5 linked regions of the Rattus norvegicus genome follow. The protein of the gene in region 3 purifies or fractionates together with the protein of the main gene of each other region. This does not show direct contact. Links are inferred from orthologs where the notes say so. Each region holds a gene or a part of one and is shown on either strand. Other genes may lie near its edges.

The links.
Region 1: the proteins of Tulp3 (region 3) and Wdr19 purify together in Homo sapiens (affinity purification with mass spectrometry; 5 studies listed by BioGRID and IntAct, counting the BioPlex papers as one, with this or other methods). This does not show direct contact. The link is inferred for Rattus norvegicus from reciprocal best matches to the Homo sapiens genes TULP3 and WDR19.
Region 2: the proteins of Tulp3 (region 3) and Ift140 purify together in Homo sapiens (affinity purification with mass spectrometry; 5 studies listed by BioGRID and IntAct, counting the BioPlex papers as one, with this or other methods). This does not show direct contact. The link is inferred for Rattus norvegicus from reciprocal best matches to the Homo sapiens genes TULP3 and IFT140.
Region 4: the proteins of Tulp3 (region 3) and Ttc21b purify together in Homo sapiens (affinity purification with mass spectrometry; 5 studies listed by BioGRID and IntAct, counting the BioPlex papers as one, with this or other methods). This does not show direct contact. The link is inferred for Rattus norvegicus from reciprocal best matches to the Homo sapiens genes TULP3 and TTC21B.
Region 5: the proteins of Tulp3 (region 3) and Sirt1 purify together in Homo sapiens (affinity purification with mass spectrometry; 5 studies listed by BioGRID and IntAct, counting the BioPlex papers as one, with this or other methods). This does not show direct contact. The link is inferred for Rattus norvegicus from reciprocal best matches to the Homo sapiens genes TULP3 and SIRT1.

The regions. Positions count from the first base shown.
Region 1 is NC_086032.1:43,421,937-43,425,450, forward strand, and holds part of Wdr19 (WD repeat-containing protein 19), read right to left. Parts: coding exon 3,388-3,514; intron 3,212-3,387; coding exon 3,101-3,211; intron 910-3,100; coding exon 800-909; intron 1-799. UniProt on the Homo sapiens protein: As component of the IFT complex A (IFT-A), a complex required for retrograde ciliary transport and entry into cilia of G protein-coupled receptors (GPCRs), it is involved in cilia function and/or assembly.
Region 2 is NC_086028.1:14,536,195-14,540,277, reverse strand, and holds the start of Ift140 (intraflagellar transport 140), read right to left. Parts: upstream 2,813-4,083; 5' UTR 2,305-2,812; intron 368-2,304; 5' UTR 337-367; coding exon 190-336; intron 1-189. UniProt on the Homo sapiens protein: Component of the IFT complex A (IFT-A), a complex required for retrograde ciliary transport and entry into cilia of G protein-coupled receptors (GPCRs).
Region 3 is NC_086022.1:163,315,447-163,319,558, forward strand, and holds the start of Tulp3 (tubby-related protein 3), read right to left. Parts: upstream 2,809-4,112; 5' UTR 2,760-2,808; coding exon 2,719-2,759; intron 1-2,718. UniProt on the Homo sapiens protein: Negative regulator of the Shh signaling transduction pathway: recruited to primary cilia via association with the IFT complex A (IFT-A) and is required for recruitment of G protein-coupled receptor GPR161 to cilia, a promoter of PKA-dependent basal repression machinery in Shh signaling.
Region 4 is NC_086021.1:71,337,432-71,340,945, forward strand, and holds part of Ttc21b (tetratricopeptide repeat protein 21B), read right to left. Parts: intron 1,561-3,514; coding exon 1,431-1,560; intron 1,336-1,430; coding exon 1,225-1,335; intron 1-1,224. UniProt on the Homo sapiens protein: Component of the IFT complex A (IFT-A), a complex required for retrograde ciliary transport and entry into cilia of G protein-coupled receptors (GPCRs). Essential for retrograde trafficking of IFT-1, IFT-B and GPCRs.
Region 5 is NC_086038.1:25,308,951-25,312,464, reverse strand, and holds part of Sirt1 (NAD-dependent protein deacetylase sirtuin-1), read right to left. Parts: intron 3,104-3,514; coding exon 2,862-3,103; intron 1-2,861. UniProt on the Homo sapiens protein: NAD-dependent protein deacetylase that links transcriptional regulation directly to intracellular energetics and participates in the coordination of several separated cellular functions such as cell cycle, response to DNA damage, metabolism, apoptosis and autophagy.

The sequences.
Region 1 (3,514 bases), on a different chromosome or scaffold from region 3:
TACTCTCTTTCTCTCCTATTCTTTAGCATTCCATAGTGTAAAAATTCAAGAACAAACCTTACCAAATGCTGTGACTTTGACTTGGGTTTCTCCATCTCTACATCTATGAGAAGTTTCTTCTTCAAAAGATTACTTTATTTTAAATTATGCATGTGAGTATGTGCACATATGTGTGGATAACTGCAGAGACCAGAGGTGAGAGATTTCCCTGGAGCTGGACTTACAGGCCATTGTGAGCCACCCAGTGTGGGTGCTGGGAACCAAACTTGGGTCCTTGGAGAAGTGCTCTTAACTACTACTGAGCTGTCTCTCTAGCCTGAATTTTCTGGTCTTGATAAATAACCTAGTGTGGTAATTTGAATATGCTTGGCCCATAGGAAGTGGCATTGTTAGGAGATGTGCCTTGGAGGAGGTGTGGCCTTGTTGGAGGAGGTGTGGCCTTGTTGGAGGAGGTGTGGCCTTGTTGGAGGAGGTGTGGCCTTGTTGGAGGAGGTGTGGCCTTGTTGGAGGAGGTGTGGCTTTGTTGGAGGAAGTGTGTCACTGTGGGGCTGGGCTTAAGAGGCCTCCTCCTATGCTCAGGCTCCACCCACTGCAGAAAAGAGCTTCCTCCTAGCTGTCTAAGGACACCCATCTTTCCTGGTTACCTTCAGATCAAGATGCAGAACTCCCAGCTCCTTTCTCATTAACTCTAACACCCCCCCCCCCCATTATTGAAGAAGAGCCTTCTAAACTGTGACAGTTTGGAACTGTAGCGTGCATTAATTAGCTACTGATGAGAAGCTCCAGAGGCAGGACTTACGTGAACTCCAGCTGGATGGCATACTCTTTGGAGATGAAGGGAATCTGGTCTGGGGCCAGGCGCTTCGCCAGCTGCAGAGCACTGTCCCAGTGCTGCAGGTCCCGCCTCATCTGTTGGAAAACAAAGCCCTAAGGTCCAGAAGGCAACATGCTTTTTAAAGTCACCGCAGAGAGCCAGGCTTAGTAAAAGGAATTACATTTTTTTCCTTAAATAATAAAACTTTCTATTTACAAAGACACTGCTATAAGATATAGTCCGAAAGGCAGTACAAGAGTCTTCTAGACTGGACAAAAATCTTAGCTAGTATGGTAGCTTGTGCTCCTCTCAAAACAAAATCTAATAAAAAATTTATTTTTTAGTATTTTTTTCCAATAGTGAGAAATTAAAGCTAATATAATCAATTAACTGAAAATTTCACCATAGAAGGACACGAATAAAAAACCTAGGAAACACTTTAGAAATTGATTTCCTTCCTTCTGTTATTGCTGAGGCAGGATTTTGCTATGCGTTCCTGACTGGCCTGGAATAAGACTACATAGTCCAGGCTGGCTTTGAACTTAAAGCAACCTTCCTAAGTCTGTTTCTTGCTGGGATTGCAGACATGAGCTACTAACTTGGCTGGAACTGATGCACCTTTTCTTTTTTTTTTCTTTCTCTTTCTTTTCTTTCTTTCTTTTTTTTATTAAAGTTACATTTATTTATGTCTGTGTGCATAAGCACATGTGTGTTACTGTGTGTACGGAGGTCAGAGGACAACTCACAGGAGTCAGTTTTCTCCTTGTATCACGTGGGTTCTGGGGATCAAAGACAAGTCACCAGGCATGGTGGCCAGCGCCTTACCAGGTGAGTCATCTCTCTGGCCCCTGATATGGCTTCTTAGGTGATTTGAAGCTATGTTGCAACATGAATAACAGAAACCACAACATATAAAGCATCTTCCTTTCTGGATCCTGTGGTGTCTTACAAGTATTTGGCAAACAATATACCAGGTCACTACTGAAGAATGTGTCCAATTCATTCCTCACTGATTTAAACTGTAAAGAATTCGTAAGTAATCTTTCCAAGTGCTATTTTCTTACCTGGTCCTGGTCTAGAACATGAACTTATTTCATTTTTCACAACTATCTTTTGCAATATTCTTGTGTCCATTTCATAGATCCAGAAATGGAAGCAAAGTCAGGCCAGGTCTTACACAAGGCTGCATGGCCAGCAAGGGAGAGCAGGTGGGAGGCAGGGCTTTCTTCCTAAGTAACTTGTCTCGCTAAGGGAGGCTGAAGGAACTGTAGGGTGCCATTAGCCCTTGGTTCTGAACTGTCACCTCAGGGCCTTTATGAAGCTAATATCATGTTTTATTATATATTAGAATATAAATATATTGTAACAGATAGATGCAATCTATTTTCTTTGAGAAAAGATGACCAGAAGTTCGAGGTTTGTTTGCTTATTTCTGGCTACTGCTTGTTATATAAATTACTTCTAATTTATTGTACTCTAAACTCATTTTCTTGCCCTACCACCCTGAGGGTTAGGCATCATTATCCACACTTTAAAGAAGAAGGACCTAAGCTGAGAGAGGTCAAAGGACATGCCCAAGGTCACAAACAGGTGGGATCTGAATCCAGATGTGCCTCAACCCCTCCCCCCCCAGTCTTGCTATGTAGCCCTGGCTAACCTAGAACTTGTTATTTGGGCCAGGCTGACCTTGAACTCCAGCACTCCTCCTGTCTGCCTCTTGAGAGCCGGCTAGTCTATGCCCTTCAACTGCTAGTCTGTGTCTGCAGGCTCCCTTCCCCTCTGACTCTGAACTTAGCCCCACATTCTGTTCTGTTCCCCATCTGCAGTCGTCAGCTCCTCACAGAGAGGAGAGGTCCATGCAGGAACTAGAAGATCAATGTGCTTCAAGGTCCTCATGTGGGAAATAGAGAAAATAACGGTACTAGTCTATAAGATAGATTGTTGAGAGGGTTAAATGAGGTAATACAGGTCAGGAGCTTGGGACAGCACCTGGGCAACATGAACAAGCAACAAACGACATCTACTTTCCTTTTTACAGTTTGTAAGTTATACACAGCCTTTTCTCTTTGGACACATTTAGACTTTGAATTATTTAGCAGTGCTACAACACCATGCCTTTTTTATACCTCCACTGAATGCAGGATGAAAGTGGTTTTGAAGTTAATGAGTACTCAGGGGCTCTGAAAGCTGAATGTCTACACGTCAGGAGAGGAAGCCACGTGGTGCCTGGCGCTGCCAAGTCTGACTGTAGAGAAGGGTGACTGCCTGTTCTCTTTGCTGTCATACCTCCAGGGCTGCCACCGGGCAGTTGGATGCCAGGTACAGGTCCTGAGCCAGGTTGAAGTCATTAGTAAACATGGCGAGATGTCCTGCCAAAAGATTGTAGTCCTCAATTCCCTACAAGGAAAAGCAGTGTCGTGAGAAGAAATATAAGGCTTTCACTTTCAAAGGCTTTGCTCAGGAGGAAGAGCTATCAGACCACCTATTCAGTTGTTTGAATTGAGACGAAAACGTAAAAAGCTGAGTAAGCCACATCTATGCTGTGATCTAGTGACTCATGAACTACTGCATACCTTTATTTGTTCCAAGGACATCACGGTGCCAACGTCCCCCATCGTCCGGGAAACGCGAATGGCAAACTCCACCTCCATGTGATGCAGACAGGCTCTGGCCAGCTCACTCCACGAAGTGCGGTCGTTT
Region 2 (4,083 bases), on a different chromosome or scaffold from region 3:
TCCGTGGCAGGGGATGAAAGAACTGCCAGACACCAGGGCTTTGGTGCTTAGGAACAACTGGCCCTTGGACAAACTGATTTAGAGGTCTCTAGAGCTGAGCTATGCTGCCTCCTGGCCTCTATGACTCGGGAGGAGAAAAGAGCACAAGGGTCAGGAGCTGCTGAAGTCAATGTCACTCCAAGGACTCACTTGTTCAAGGTAGATGTCTACGTTGCCTCCAGAAGATGGGCTTACAGATGCCACTGCCAGGAATGGGTGGGTGGGGTGCCAGGTGATGTGAGAGGGAGAGCTGGATGCATCTGGAGCTTTGATTCGGTGGTCAAAATACAGTGCCATGGTGATGCACAGACTTAGTCAAGGATGAGACCTGCAGAGCGGGGGAAACCAACTAAGAATGACAGCGTATAGAATTGCAAAAGGGAAGCACACTTACAAAGACACAAAGCAGCTTGACGTGTTTCTTAAGTGAACTTATTTGTTAGAGATCTCTATTAAGGAGAAATATAAAAAGCAAAGGCTTGAACTTGGAATGACCCAACGTGTGCTGGAAAAGAAGTCAAATTCTTTGCTAAGAGAGAACTAAATGGAATAGAATGAGCAAGTACTAAACGGGGGTTTCAAATAATTCTTGATCACTCTCATTCCAGACAAGATAAGCATGGGTTCGATTTCTACGGACACCCTCAAAGACAAAGCTGAAACTAGAGAAAAGCAAACTGCCCATAAAATATCTGTACAGAGAAAAAACAGCATTCAACTTCATAGAAACCAAAACTCAAAAGAATGTCTGCTAGCTATGACTTATAGGTGGCAGAGGACAGTCAGGATCACAAAGCCACAGTGACTGGGGAGATGCTGCATTTGATTTGATACATGGGTTTGAAAGATGATTCTGTGGTTAAGAGATCTTCCAGGTGACGTGAGTTCAGTCCCCAGCACTCGCATCAGGCAGCTCACAGCTGGCTAGAACTGCAGTTCCTCTGGGATCTGATGCCACGCTGGCCTCTGCAGACTGCACACAGACATTAGAAATAAGCCAAATATGGTGGCACAAGCTTTCAATCCCAGCACATAAGAAGCCGAGATCCCTATGTGCTTGAGGAAATATGGTCTACTACAGTGAGTTCCAGGCAGCCAAGGATACACAGTGAGACCTTGTCTCAAAAAAAAAAAAAACAAAAAACTTATTTTTTAAAAAAAAGTGCTACCTGACACTTTAGTATTTCCATTTTTATACAATGTTCTAATTGTCTGTTCTCTCCTCACTTGTGCTTAAGGTTTTTCTTTTCTTTTCTTTTCTTTTTTTAGGAGCTGGGGACCGAACCCAGGGCCTTGCGCTTGCTAGGCAAGCGCTCTACCACTAAGCTAAATCCCCAACCCCGCGCTTAAGGTTTTTTATTGTTCATTTGTTTTGTTTTGTTTTGTCTTTCAAGGCAAGATTTCTGTTTAGCCCTGACTGTCCTAGAACTTGCTCTGTAGCCCAGGCTGGCCTCAAATTCACAAAGATCTGCCTGCCTCTGCCTCCCAAGTCCTGGGATTAAACGTGTGAAGCACTACTGACCAGAACTCTTAAGTTTTAAAATGAGAATTAGCCAAATAATTAAAAAGTTATTAAATAAATTTTAAAAGGCAGATGTTCACAATAAAATAGTTATTTGAAAATCTGTTAATGGCCTTAGTTCAGGAACAAGTTTCAAGTATGGAGGCCCTAAAGCAAGAAAAAGGCAATTTCACTTTTTCCAGTCAATTGATCCTCATTTTTATAGTTGTCAATCATTTTCAGAGGTAAGTAGCTCCATCAAGCCAACTCTTAGGAAAGCTAGTTAAACTCATTATGCCAAGGAATCATACTAACAATTAAAGACAAGTTACAACTGTCAGAGACTCTCAGGAACAAGAGGATGAGTTCTAGAGTAGCCTTTCAGGGTAGTGACCAATGATCTAAAGTCTAGCTCTCTGGGCCAGAATAAGGTCACTAGCTGCATCATGTAAACATTATTGAAGGACTGTGTAGTTCAAGGTGGTCCAGTCAGATCATGCTATTTTCATAAGCCACCCGAAAATTAACCAAGTCACGGATTTTGGCTTCCCCCAACTTCAAACTAAATGCATGCAGAGGTAACCACGCGGCAACTCAAAAGTCCAGCAGGGGGCTCTAGGACTGGGCAGAGAGAATTCTTGTGAAGCCAGCACAGAGAGGAATCGAAAGGGTCCTGGCAGGTCATCTCTAGGCCCCAGGCCGATCCTGAAGGACCCTATCCCACCCCCAGCCACTCCCCACTCCAGCCCCAGACGCCTTTGCACCTCAGGTATAGGAGTCTAACTTCCGCAGATTCCCTGTGCCTCCGTGTCGCCCGGACAACGCCGCTACAGAAAGTGGAAGCAAGTTCAGGGACGGCCGCGCCTCCGATGGCTCCCAAAAAGACGACTGGCGACTAGAGGCGCAAAGAGCCAAAGACAGTCGGTCCTTCCCGGCGCAGCTCTGAGTCTCAGGCCCGTCTCAGGACCACAGTTTGGCCTTCTTGCTAATGGGTGGGCCAGAACTATTTGCTACTCAGGGCAAGCTGCGTCAAGCCTCCTGATACTTTTATCCTCGAGTTCATCCTGCCCACCCCACCACGCAGGCCATCAGTCGACACCTCGGGGAGCTTAGTTGCATCGACTCGGATGGGAGGGCGCGGCTCGAGAGCTTCTCCGGGAAGTTCTGAGTACCGGACGCCGCCCGGGAGTGTGGCGCGTTGACGCCTCGGGAGACCGCTGCAAGCGGCACTCAGCAGAACCTTGCAGCAGCTAGGGTTCCCTGGGCGACCGTGCGTACTTTAGCCAGCGTTAGCCAACGGCGGGTGTCGCTGGAGAGCAGGCGCAGTAGCACGGTCCACGCCAACGAGCCAAGGGGATAACCAGAGACGGAGACCTTCTGCGAACTGGAATACTCCGTCTCAAACGCCACATGCATAAGGATTAGAGTTTTAAAAAACATTTCCTTATCGTTTCGAGCAGGAAAACTGTTAGTGGGCTGTGCTACGATATATTTATGGTCCTAAACCTGATTTCAGAGTGCATAGTCCCCACCCGAGTTCGCGCGCGCTTCAAGACGCCCCGCTGAGGCGGTGATTTCTTCTCACGCATCCGTCAACACAGTCTCAGCCAATCACAACCAGAACGCTGACCCTATTGGCTGTCGGTTCGCCAATCGGAAGAGACGCACGACCCGCAAGGGCGCGAGGTTGCCGTCACAACACGCCCCACGTTGCGGGCCCGCCCCTGTACACCGTGCGGGCGCGCGCACGTAACGCCTACTGACCAATGGCAGCCTAGCTGGTTGGGCGCGCCCGCAGAAAAGCTGGACGTGCTCGCCTTTTTTTGCGGGACGTTCGCCCCGCCCCGCTCCGGCGCCGACTTCAGGTCCCGGGCGGCCGCCGTAGCCGGAACTGTTTAGAGAGCGCGGCGTCCCGGGTGTGGGAGGGCGAGTGGCGGCAGCACCGGCGCCGTCAGCCCTGTTAGCCGCGCGCCGGTCCACAGAGAGGAGTTGCGAAGGGAACAGTGCTCGGTGACCGCGTCTGACACACGACTACCAGCCCGGCATCGCGGCCTCGCCGCAGCCGGAGCTGCCCGGCCCCGTCGGTTCTGCGGAGGCCCGGGATCCGGGAGCCAGTCTGCCGGGAAGCGTGGATGAAAAAGGTGACCGCAGGCTGCACTCGGGAGCCTACGGGATCCGCGGAGGGGCCGCGGTATTCGCGGGCTGTGCCGTGTGCAGCCAGCGGTCAGCTCTTTAGGAAGGTGCGAGCTTCTCCCACCCGAAATGGGACAAAGGGTGTGGAGCCGGGACGAGGCCCGCAGTGCCCGCGCCTCCCACGGTCAGGAAGTGACGGGTTTCGGTGACGGACTCCATAGGAGTCCACCGCCGCTGGGGAACGACCGGAATGCGCCTGGGGACACGGCCTGGCGCGCCGGCGAGTGGGTCCTGTTGGACTGATGTATTTTGTTTGGTGGCGCTGGCAGTGCTGGTTCTGGGAATGGGTTTCCGCTCCCTAGCACAATGACAGGGTTTTGGGAACCTTGGTGAGGGGGTTAGAAGTGAAT
Region 3 (4,112 bases):
GAGCTAGAAATCTCATGCAATGGAAACTCCCAGGAATCTGTGAGGGTGACCCTAGCTAAAACTCCTAACAATGGGGATGTGGAGCCCAAACCGAGACAAGATTTCCAGTGGAGGGATGGAGACAGCAACCCAGCCACAAACCCTTCAACCTACATACAATCTGTCCTGCCTGTAGGATGTACAGGGGTAAAGACAGAGCAGAGGAAGAGGAAATGGGCAAGCGGTGACTGGTCCAGCTTGAGACCCATGCCGTAAGAGAGAGATCACCCCTGACACTGTTAATGATATCCTGTTTGCTATGCTTGCAGACAGGAGCCTAATGTAGCCATCATCAGAGAGGCTTCACCTAGCAACTGATGAAAACAGATACAGAGACCCACAGCTAAACATTAGGTGGAGCTTAGGGAATCCTGTGGAAGAGAAGGAGGATTGAAGAAGCCAGAGGGGTCAAAGACACCACAAGAAAACCTACAGAATCAACTAACTGAGGTTCACAGGCGCTCACAGAGACTGAACCGCCAACCAGGGAGCATGCATGGGACTGACCTAGGCTCTCTGCACATATGTTACAATTGTGTAGCATAGTCTTCTTATAAGACTCCTAAAGTGGGAGCAGGGGCTGGTTCTAACTCTGTTACCTCATTTGGGGATTCTTTCCTCCTATTGGATGGCCTCCTCCAGCCTTAATAGAAGAGGAGGTGCCTAGTCTTAATGCAACCTGATATGCCATGACTGGCTGATATCTATGGGTAGGCTTGCCCTTTCTTGAAGAGAAAGAGAAGAGGAGTAGATGGGGGGTGGGGGGGTGGGAAGGGAGGAGGATACTGGGAGGAGAGGGGGAAGGGGAAATTTTGGTAAGGATGTAAAGAAAATTTCAAACCTGAGAGGGGTGGGAAGGGAGTGAGGGAGAGAGGGACAGAGGGGGAGAGAGAGAGAGAGAGAGAACCTAGTACACAAGTACGTCCAGGCTTGGTGATGCATGCCTATATAAGACACTTGGGAGGCTCAGGCAGGGGGGATTTTGAGTTTGAGGCTAGCCTGGATTACCGGATTATACTGACATTCAACCAAGTCAGTCTCAGTCTCTCTCAAAAAACTATTAAGGACAGCCTAAAAAGGGAGACATTCACTGGCTTTTAGCAACAAACGAGTTAAACAGTGACAGAGCTTCATGCTCTACCTAGGGCAGGAGAAACTAGGGCCTCGCACTGGCTCCTAACGTGTCAATCAACTAGAAATTAGAGTCGGTTTCTTTTCTTTGGAAGAATGGGGGAGGTGCTTAAAATTATTCCTTTAAGCTTCAAGTTCAGGAGATGAAAAATAAAATAAAATAAAAAAAAACAAAACAAAACAAAACCTGCCAGCTGGTCCCAATCTCAAAGTCAAGTTCCTGTTCCCTAAAATCGTGAGTCATGGAAGGCAGAGACAGATGGATCTGTGTGAGTTCGAAGCTGGCCTGGTTTAAATATCGAGTTTCAGTCCTGCTACATAAGACCTACCTCAAAATAAAAATTACATTCCTATGGAATTGACTTCTCTAAAATCGTTTAGTTAAAAATGAAATCCCTCAGCTGAACGAGATATCATCTGATTTCACCCGGACATGCTGAATACTAACTTTGCTAACCCGGCCTAATACTTGCAAATGTATTTTCTGTTCCCAAAATGGAGGGGGAGTTGAAAACAAATTTCGGCGAGCAGCTATCAAGTTTATAGAATTTACTTGATGAAAGATGAAAATAGGTCAGCCTTGGGAAGCAGAGGTAGGAAACAAATGTTCAAAGTCAGCCTTATTGTCAAGTTTGAGGGAAGCTTAGTCTTGTATGACACCGATGGAGAGCACGGGTCTCTATTGTAACTTCTTAAAAGATGGTTTCGGGCCAGTTAAAAACTCGTTTAAACGTCAGACTAAATCCTTACGCCAAGTCTTTATCTGCTGTGGTAACGGAAGGGTAAAGGAAGAATGCAGTTGGCGTGTTTGGTTTCAATCCTCACACAATGCTGAAGTTTTGAGACAGTGATTTCACAGGGCCCCCCATTAACTTTTCGTTAGCCTAGCTGACGAGAAATGAGGAGGCTGGGATTGCAGCCCGTTTGCTTTCCCAAGCTCACTCTGTGAACCAGGAAAAAAGAGGGGTCTTGGTAGAGAAATCGGGGGCACTAACGAGAGTATGGAACAGTCTAAACTAAGACAGGCCTCACTGAAAGAACTCCTGGAACTCAGGGGAAGAAAGAAAGAAGAAAAGAACAGTTTTGCATTTTCAGTCCTCGGACTCGTTCCAGAATTCCGCAATGACTGCCAAAAGCAACGGCCTTGGAACCAATTAACCATCACCCTCGACCTTCCGCTTCGACTCCCAGGAGTGCCCTCCTTCCAGCTCAGTTCTGATCCAAGTCGAGAGAGACAGAGACGGGAGAACGCATTGCAAGTGAGGGAATCGAGACCCTAGGGGAGCATGGAGAGCTCGTCCGGGGTAAACTCCAGGGGAGCGGCTCGAGAGAGCTTGCGGCGCAGGAAGCACAGCGCACTGCAAGTCAGAGATTCCGAGGCCCTAGGGGTGAAGGGCGAGCTGGTTCGGGGTAAACTCCAGGAGAGCGACAAGAGAGCTCTGGAGACACAGGGTGTGCATAGCCCCTGCCCAGCCTGGGTACAAGAGCCTGGCCTCCGCTCTTGCCCGCCCCCCCTGGAGACCCCTGCCCGTCTCTCCGCCGCCTGACCTGTCCCCGCGGGATCCCGGTGCGCAGCGCGCCGCCTCCATACCCGCCCGACCGGTGGCATCAGCGTCCAGACCCCAAGACGCCGCCGCCCGGCTGGAGAGGATGGAGGAGGTCGGGCCCCGCCCCTGGCAACCACACCCCGCACTGTCGCCGACGCCCATTGGTCCAGTACCCTCCGCTCCCGTCTCACTGGCAAATGACGCTAGCCGCGATGCTGGAGGGTTTCCAGGGGGCGGGAGGCACCGGGAGGCAATGGCGCGTGCGCTAGAGAGGGGAACAGCCCCGGGGCTGGGTCCGAGCTGGTTCTCGGAGTAGTCTTCATCTGCTCCACTCCAGGGCCGACCACGACAGGGTGATTCCCTGCACTCCACTGTGGTGCGCCAGGGTGTAGTCCCGGGTTTTCGAACCTCTGTCGCCCGAAGCTTCGCAGTCTGACCTGCTCCAGGATACCTGAGGCCTTCATTCAGCCTTCCAAACCGTTAGCCCTTGCCCACAGGCCGACTGCGGGATCCCTACCTGGGGACCCTCTTCAAGTGTCCTTATTCGTGAGGGTAGCTACTAAGCTGTCCTCTCTGCATTGAATCATGCCTCCAGGCATCAGTGCCTTTGTGGCTCTGGTCCCTCTAGGACTTTATGACCAGAACTACAACAGATAGACTTAATGAGTAAGGCCAAAAGCACACTGATGTTGAATCCAAAAATTCACTTAAAAAATAATGTATTTATTTTGAGACAGGATCTCAGTACACAGTCCTAGGCTGGTCTGGAACTCTGAGATCCAACTGCCTCTGCGCCCTAGTGCTAGAATTAAAGGCATGTGCCGTATGTTTCACCTATGTGAGTGTCTGCATATCATATGCATCCCTGGTGCCCAAAGCTGTCAGATACCCCGGAACTGGAGTTATAGATGGTTGTGAGTCACTATGTGGGTGCTGGGAATAGAACTTGTGCCTTCTGGGTATCCAAGGCTCATAACTGCTGAGCCACCTCTCCAAGTCCCAGAAATTAATTTTTGAAAACTAGGGAATAGCATACCTGCAAACAAAGGCTAGGAGAGCAGAACACTGAACTTGGCCCCCCTCCCTATGTGACCCTGGGTGGCTGTTGCTGCTGCTTTTTTTTTTTTTTTTTTTTTTTTCGTTCTTTTTTTCGGAGCTGGGGACCGCTGGGGACCGAACCCAGGGCCTTGCTCTTCCTAGGCAAGCACTCTACCACTGAGCTAAATCCCCAACCCCTCCTCCTCCTCCTCCTCCTCCTCCTCCTCCTCCTCCTCCTCCTCCTCCTCCTCTTCCTTTTTTGTGCTACAAATCTTCACTCATGTAAGGCACAGCATAAGCTCTGCTTGGCCTAGAAGGGCCTAGATGCTAATGAGTAGGGTTGAAAGAGATGCTATT
Region 4 (3,514 bases), on a different chromosome or scaffold from region 3:
AAGAAATAAAAGAGTCTGGTATACAATCAGAGTATCCACCTTTCAGATTCCAAAGGCACACTTAGTCATGTACTAGCTGGGCAGTTTATGTCATTCCTAAGAAAGGCAATTATTTTTGTTAATCAAATGTATATTTAAAAACCCAGTAATATTCTAAAATGATACAAATGCTAGGGTCAGTGTCAGGACTAGATCTCAGTCTACCCAATTCTACAATCCAATTCTGAAGCACGGATGTGTGGGTCACTCACTATAACTCTTTTGTATCCTGGAAATGTATTTAGCACAGTCCTAACAGAAGGTACATAACTGGTTACTTGTCAAACAGTGTTTTTTTATTTTTATTTTTATCTGTGTATGTGTGCTTGGCATGAAAGAGGCATGTGATAATTTTTTAAAGATAAAAGTGTTTCCAATATTTAAAAGCTCATTCTATGACATGCAGCTTATTTAATTATTTAAAATACTTACAGTGCTATTAATTGTTACTGGACATACACGTATAGTTTTAAGTTACTTATAGCTTGGATTCTCTTCTCTTCTCAGTCATACCTTATATTACTTGCTAACACAATGCAACTCAACTTTAAAGACCATTCCTTCCACAATATATCCACATGTCCCAACTACTACCTAAGTAACATTCCATCCCCATGATAGCCATGAATCCCAACTACTATAAAGAACAGAGTTCCTTCCATAATATAGTCTTACATCTCAAATACTACCAAGAATAATGTTCTCTCCATAATAAAGCCATACGTCCCAACTACTCTACAATGAAAATCATGTTACTTCCATAATATAGCCACATGTCTCAAGTACGACACAATGAAAATTTACTGAACATTTTTCAGGAGCTATGAACAATGGGAACTATCAAAGTCCTCATGAAGCTTACTACGTTGTCTAAGGAGAGAAACTGCACATTGCTACACATTTGCACAGTCTGTGTGTGTCACTCTTCTTTGGTTGTCCTTTCATTGCTTTGTGAAACAGTTGCTAACATTTACACAGTCAACTCTGTTAACTCAGACCATTGCTATGCACCATTGAAATAACTGTCATAGGATGCATAAAAGCAGCATGAAACGGATGAATTTATACTCTGGCCAGGAAGATAAAACATTACATATATAGCACCATGGATAGAAAACTAAAAATCATTAAGTCGCAGTAAGCAGAACATGGAATCTATCTCAATGCTACACTTAAATGCTGTACCTGGATTGGGGCTCATTTTATGGACATACATCAGCGCCATCAGGGAACACAGTGACACGTCTTGTTTATTTTTAATGGCCTCAAACTCCCGAAGGGCTTCTTGAGCTTTACCTGGAAATCAAGATTGGGGTTTGAAAAACAATTAGTATACTTAGTTCAAGCTAGGATTCAGAGCATAGGGAAGACATCTGATGATCAGCACGTACCCTCCATTAGTGTGCCGTAGGCATGGTAAAATCGGAAGACTGGGTCACTGCTATACTTCTTCATCCCTTCACTGGCCACAAGGAGCACATGGTGATAGTATCTCTCTTGACAATAGTAATTGATCAGTGTCTACAAGGAAATAATGACTAATGGTTAACAGGCAGGTTAATATTCAGAAGAAGACATCAATCTTGGATAATCCAGAACTTAATATAGTTTCTTCTCTGCTCTTTAAAATGTCTTTAACCCTGGGCACTCAATAGTAAGGATGAGACTGAGTGACCATGGAATTATTCAAAAGTCAGTGTTTCTCTTTTTCGGTGTAATTTTCTTTTGTTCCCTATAATTAGTTCTTTTCAACAATATTGGAGTCAGACTACGTTTACATTTTACCTTCTTTGGCTTTATCTTCTTTGAAGATTTTAGAAAAAAAGAAAAAGAAAACAAACAACAACAACAAAAAACAAACAAACAAACAAACAAAAAAACCAAAACAAAACTGTGGACCAAGAAAATGAAGAGACTAGAGCTGGTTAGTTTGCTACTTTTAAAAATTTGGTTTGGCTCTGTCAACTTGACGAAGACAAGAGTCACCTGGGAAGAAGGAACCTTGATTGATGAAATCCTTAGATTAGCCTAAAGGCAAGCCTCTGAGGCATTTTCTTGACTAATGATTGATGTGGGGGGCTCCAGCCCACTCTGGGCACCACTGAGCAGCAGGTAGTCATGAAAAATATTCACATATATGAATACATACACACATACATACACACATACATACAATCTGAGTTAGCCATGAAAAGCAAATCAGTAAGCAATAAGCAGTATTCCTCCACTGTGGTAGGTTGAATGAGAAAATCCTTAGGCTCGTATATTTGAATGCTTGATCTCTAGTCACTGAAACTGTTTTGGAAGGATTGAAAGGTTTGGTCTTGTTAGAGGAGGTGTGTCTGGAGGCTTTGATGGTTCAAACATCCAAAGTAGGCCTTATCTTTGTCTCTCTGCCAGTCTCTATCTTTCTCTTTCTCACTATCTCTGTCTCTCCGTCCCTCCCTCCTTCCCTACTGCTTGCGGCTTAGGATGTAACCTCTCAGCTACTGTCAGACCCATGGCCATGATGGTCTTGAACTCTAACCCTTGGACACTGTAAGCAAGTCTCCAATAAACACTTCTTTAAGTTGCTTTGGTCATGGTGTCTCTTCCCAGAATACACAAGTAACTAAGACTGCTTCAGTTCCTATTTCCAGAATGAGTCCTTGATGTCTTGCCCTAATAAAACACAATGATCAAAAGCAACTCAGGAAGGATAGGGTTCACTTCATCTTAGTTTGTGGTGCAGAGAAGTCAGAGGGACATAGAGGAGTGTGGTTTACTGGCTTGCTCAGACTGTTTTCTTATATCACAGAGAACCACCATCACCTACAATGAGAAGGGCCCTCCAGCATCAACCAGGAAAGTTCCTTGGATACTTGACTACAGGCAATCTAATGGTGGCATATTTTCAACTGAAGTATCTTATTCTCAAATGACCCTGGGTGTGTCAAGTTGTCATAGCCAGGACACAAGCTGTGACAAATTGGGTCTACTTTTCTTGAAAATGCATCTAAGATTCAGCTGCTGACCTACTCAAAGAGGGAAGCCACACTCTCACCATCACTGTAACTACGGGGCTTCCTTACTTCACAAACAAAGGTGAGGAATCCTGTGACACTGTCCGCCTGCATTAGGACCACATGAGTGAGAGACAGAAAGGACATAGGTGCACACAGACAGCTCTTTTACAGTCTGGATTCTGCAGGGCTACACCTTGCCTTTCCTAGAGCTCAGTCATGCAATATTCTCTAGAACCTCTGCTCTGCTCCCCTCTTGTGGGTTCTGTTTCACACTTGTTCTCCACCTCATTTCTGGAGACAGTGACCCATATTCCAAATGGCAGACAACCGCAACATAGCTCAGCAAAGTGCAGTTTGATTTTTTTTCCCAACTTCCTCATGCTCCAGGATCAAAACGAACTTACTTATTTATCCCACAATGCTATCCTCCTTGACTTCTGTGCTGCATGAAAAATGATTCACAGACCACA
Region 5 (3,514 bases), on a different chromosome or scaffold from region 3:
GACTTCTTAAGTTCTGAGCCATCGTTCCAGCCCAAAAATGTATCATTTATTTACTTATTTATGGGTTGTTTTTTGTCTTTTGACAGGATCTCACTGTACACACACACACACACCCCTACCCCTGCCTCTGCCTCCCCAAGCATAGGACACCTAGCTTCTCATTATCTGAGATAGGCTGGGTAGCCATTAGGCTTCAAGGATCTGCCTGTCTCTACATCCTAATGCTGAAGTTCGTCAGCACAGTAAGGTCCTGAGAGTCAAATGCTAGGCTGGGATTAAAGGAAATGCATTACCGTATCCAACTAGGAATGTATTTTTAATTATAAATTGTAATGATTAAAACCCAGAACAGTGGCACAAGTCTATAGTCAGAGCTAAGACAGCTGAGGCATGATCACTTAAGTTCAGGTAGCCACCCTAAGTAATGTAAAAAGGGCTAAGGATAAAGTCAGTTGTACAGTGTCTGTGCCTGACACATGGTTAAGTCCTGGGTTCACAACTCCAGCAGCGAAAACAATAAATTACAACAATGAGACAGTGAGATGTCTTGGTAGCTAAAGGCTACCATGCTACCACCTGTTTGATGCCTGGAACCACACGTAAGAATGCTTGCAAGTTGTCCTCTTGACATCCTCATGTGTGTGCGTACATGTGCATACACACATATACACATCACACACATACCAGCAAACAAACTAAAAAAGAAATTGGGGGTTTTTCAAGATAAGGTTTCTCTGTGTGGCCCTGGTTGTCTGGGAACTTGCTCTGTAGACCAGGCTGGACTTCAACTTTCAGATTCACCTGTCTCTGCCTCCTGAGTGCTGGAATTAAAAGCATGTGTTACTACACATGGGTACACAAATCTTAATAAATTTTAATAAACAGGTATGATGACACTGGCCTTTAATCTTTGCATTTGGGAGGCAGAGTAGGACTATATCTCTACAAGTTTGAGGTCAGCCTGGTCTACAAAGGAAGTTCTAGGCTAGCCAGAGCTACATAGTGTGATACTGTCTCTAAATAAATAAAAACTACAAAACTTTTAGATATAATCCTTTTTCTTCAGATAAATCTTAACACTCCCAGTAGGGGAATTGACAAGCTTTATTTCATTCCAGATTTACAGGATTCATTCAACTTGGAGTAAAAGAAAAAAATGTCTCTGGAATACAACTCTAATCCCAATTCTTCAGAAAGAGAAGAAAGTTTGAAATCATCCAAGGCTATAGAGAAAGAAAGAAAAAAAGAAAGAAAGCCAGCCAGCCAGCCAGCCAGCCAGGCATGGTAGTACATACCTGGAATAATCCCATAGCTGGGAGGATCTCTGCCAAGTTCCAGGCCAGACCTGAGTAAGCCCCTGTTTCAAGAATAACACTGGAAGCCTACATACAGAATAGCTCAGCAGTCAGTTAAGGTGCTTCTGACCAAGTCCGAAGTCAAGACTGACAGAGGAAGGAAACAAGCAACTCCCAACTCAGGATGTACGGACTCCCACAGGTGCCACAGCACACAAACTACAACACATACCCAAACATAAAACAAATTTTTCCCTAAAAAAAAAAAAAGCCAACCCTTGTCTCCTTGTCTGAATCACACCTGTAGGCCAAACTAACCCTACTTGGGGCTAAGAAGCTGTGCACACTGACCTGCTTCAGGCACGCCCACCTGCCTCTGCCTCCCACAACTGAGATTCTTTTTTTTTTTGTTCATTTATTATATATGAGTACACTGTTAGCTGTCTTCAGACACACCAGAAGAGGGCATCGGATCTCTTTAGAGATGGTTGTGAGCCACCATGTGGTTGCTGGGAATTGAACTCAGGACCTCTGGAAGAGTAGTCGGGTGCTCTTAACCGCTGAGCCATCTCTCCAGCCCCACAACTGAGATTCTTGATCATCATTTAATACTTTTCACTTTGCTCAAACTGCTCTGGCTGCTAACAATGTCTAACATACTATATAACACAGAATACGACTTGGTTTTAGACCAAGTCAAATGAAAAAGGTCAAGTCTCTACAATCTTACAAAGTTAAAATGAAGAAAAAGGTAAAAATGTTACTTACTCCCTAATATTAAGTTTCTACTTTCTCCATGAAAACTGTCTCCACTAGACTCTTGCTATGACAGACTTCAAAAGGATCTGATTTTTCTAAGTCATCTTGAGGAGCCAGGATTCAGTGTGTAAGAGCTCTAGGGGTTGAAAAGGTGGCTTGATGCTCTTGCAGAGGACTTGGAGGCTCACAAACATCTATCACTACAGTTTCAGGAGATCTGATGCCTTCTGGACTCCTTAAGCACTTCACACAATGGCAGAGAAGCATACATGCAGATAAAACACCCATACACATAAAATTAAAACCAAACAAGTCCAGGAGCTAGAGAGAGAGCCTAGCCATGAAAGAGAACTTGCTGCTCCTTAAAGAGAACTCACGTTTGCCAGCACCCACATGGTGGCCCACATTCCTGGAAACCCAATACTCATTTGTGGCCTCTGTGGGGTACCAGGCATACCATGCACATGTATGCATATAGGCAAAAATCAATCAATCAATTAATCTCTGTGTGTGTGTGTGTTTCTCCTCTTTCTCCTCCTCCTTTCTCCCCCTTCTCTCTCTCACACATGATCTTAAAACAAACAAAAAACCCCGTAATTCCACTTACCAATTGTACTATAAATATACAAAGATTTAAAGTTGTTAAACTTTTCAAAACACTGAACTAGTTTAGCAAATGCTGCTGTCCTCAGTTTTTATGAACAAAGACTACTACATCAAAAGCAAAGCAAACAAAAAAATTAACTGGAAAAGGAATAAAATATATACTAGCTTTTTCTCTTTACTGTTTTCATGTGTCTTACTTACCCCAGCTCCAGTCAGAACTATTATCTTTTTGCACTCTTGTAGTAACTTCACAGCATCTTCAATTGTATTAATATCTTTTCTTTTTTTCCGCTTTGGTGGTTCTGAAAGGATATTAATAACAATCTGCCACAGTGTCATATCATCCAACTCAGGTGGAGGAATTGTTTCTGGTAATAAATCTTTAAGAATTGTTCGAGGATCGGTGCCAATCATGAGGTGTTGCTGAACAAAAGTATATGGACCTATATTAAGGGAAGAAAGAGTCCCGTCATCCCCTTCTAATGGAAGTGCTCTATATTTTCAACCAATGAGGTAGCAATCGATACATTTATATGCAAAGAATATAATTTAAAGATATTTCCTGTCATATCCCTAACTAATCTGACTAATCCAGAGTTTGGGGAGGAAGTGCTTAGGTATAAGGGTTTTTTTGCTTGGTTAGTTGGTTTGGTTTGAGACAGGGTTTCTCTGCATAGCCCTGGCTGTCCTGGAACTTGCTCTGTAGATCGGGCTGGCCTAGAATTCAAGAGATTCTCCTGCCTCTGCTTCCTGAGTGCAGAGATTAAAAAGGTGCATGCCACCACTACCTGGACTGTCTAGGTATTTTGACTAAGCTTAGATGTTTTAAGTATTTTAAAGGTTAGGGGGACTTG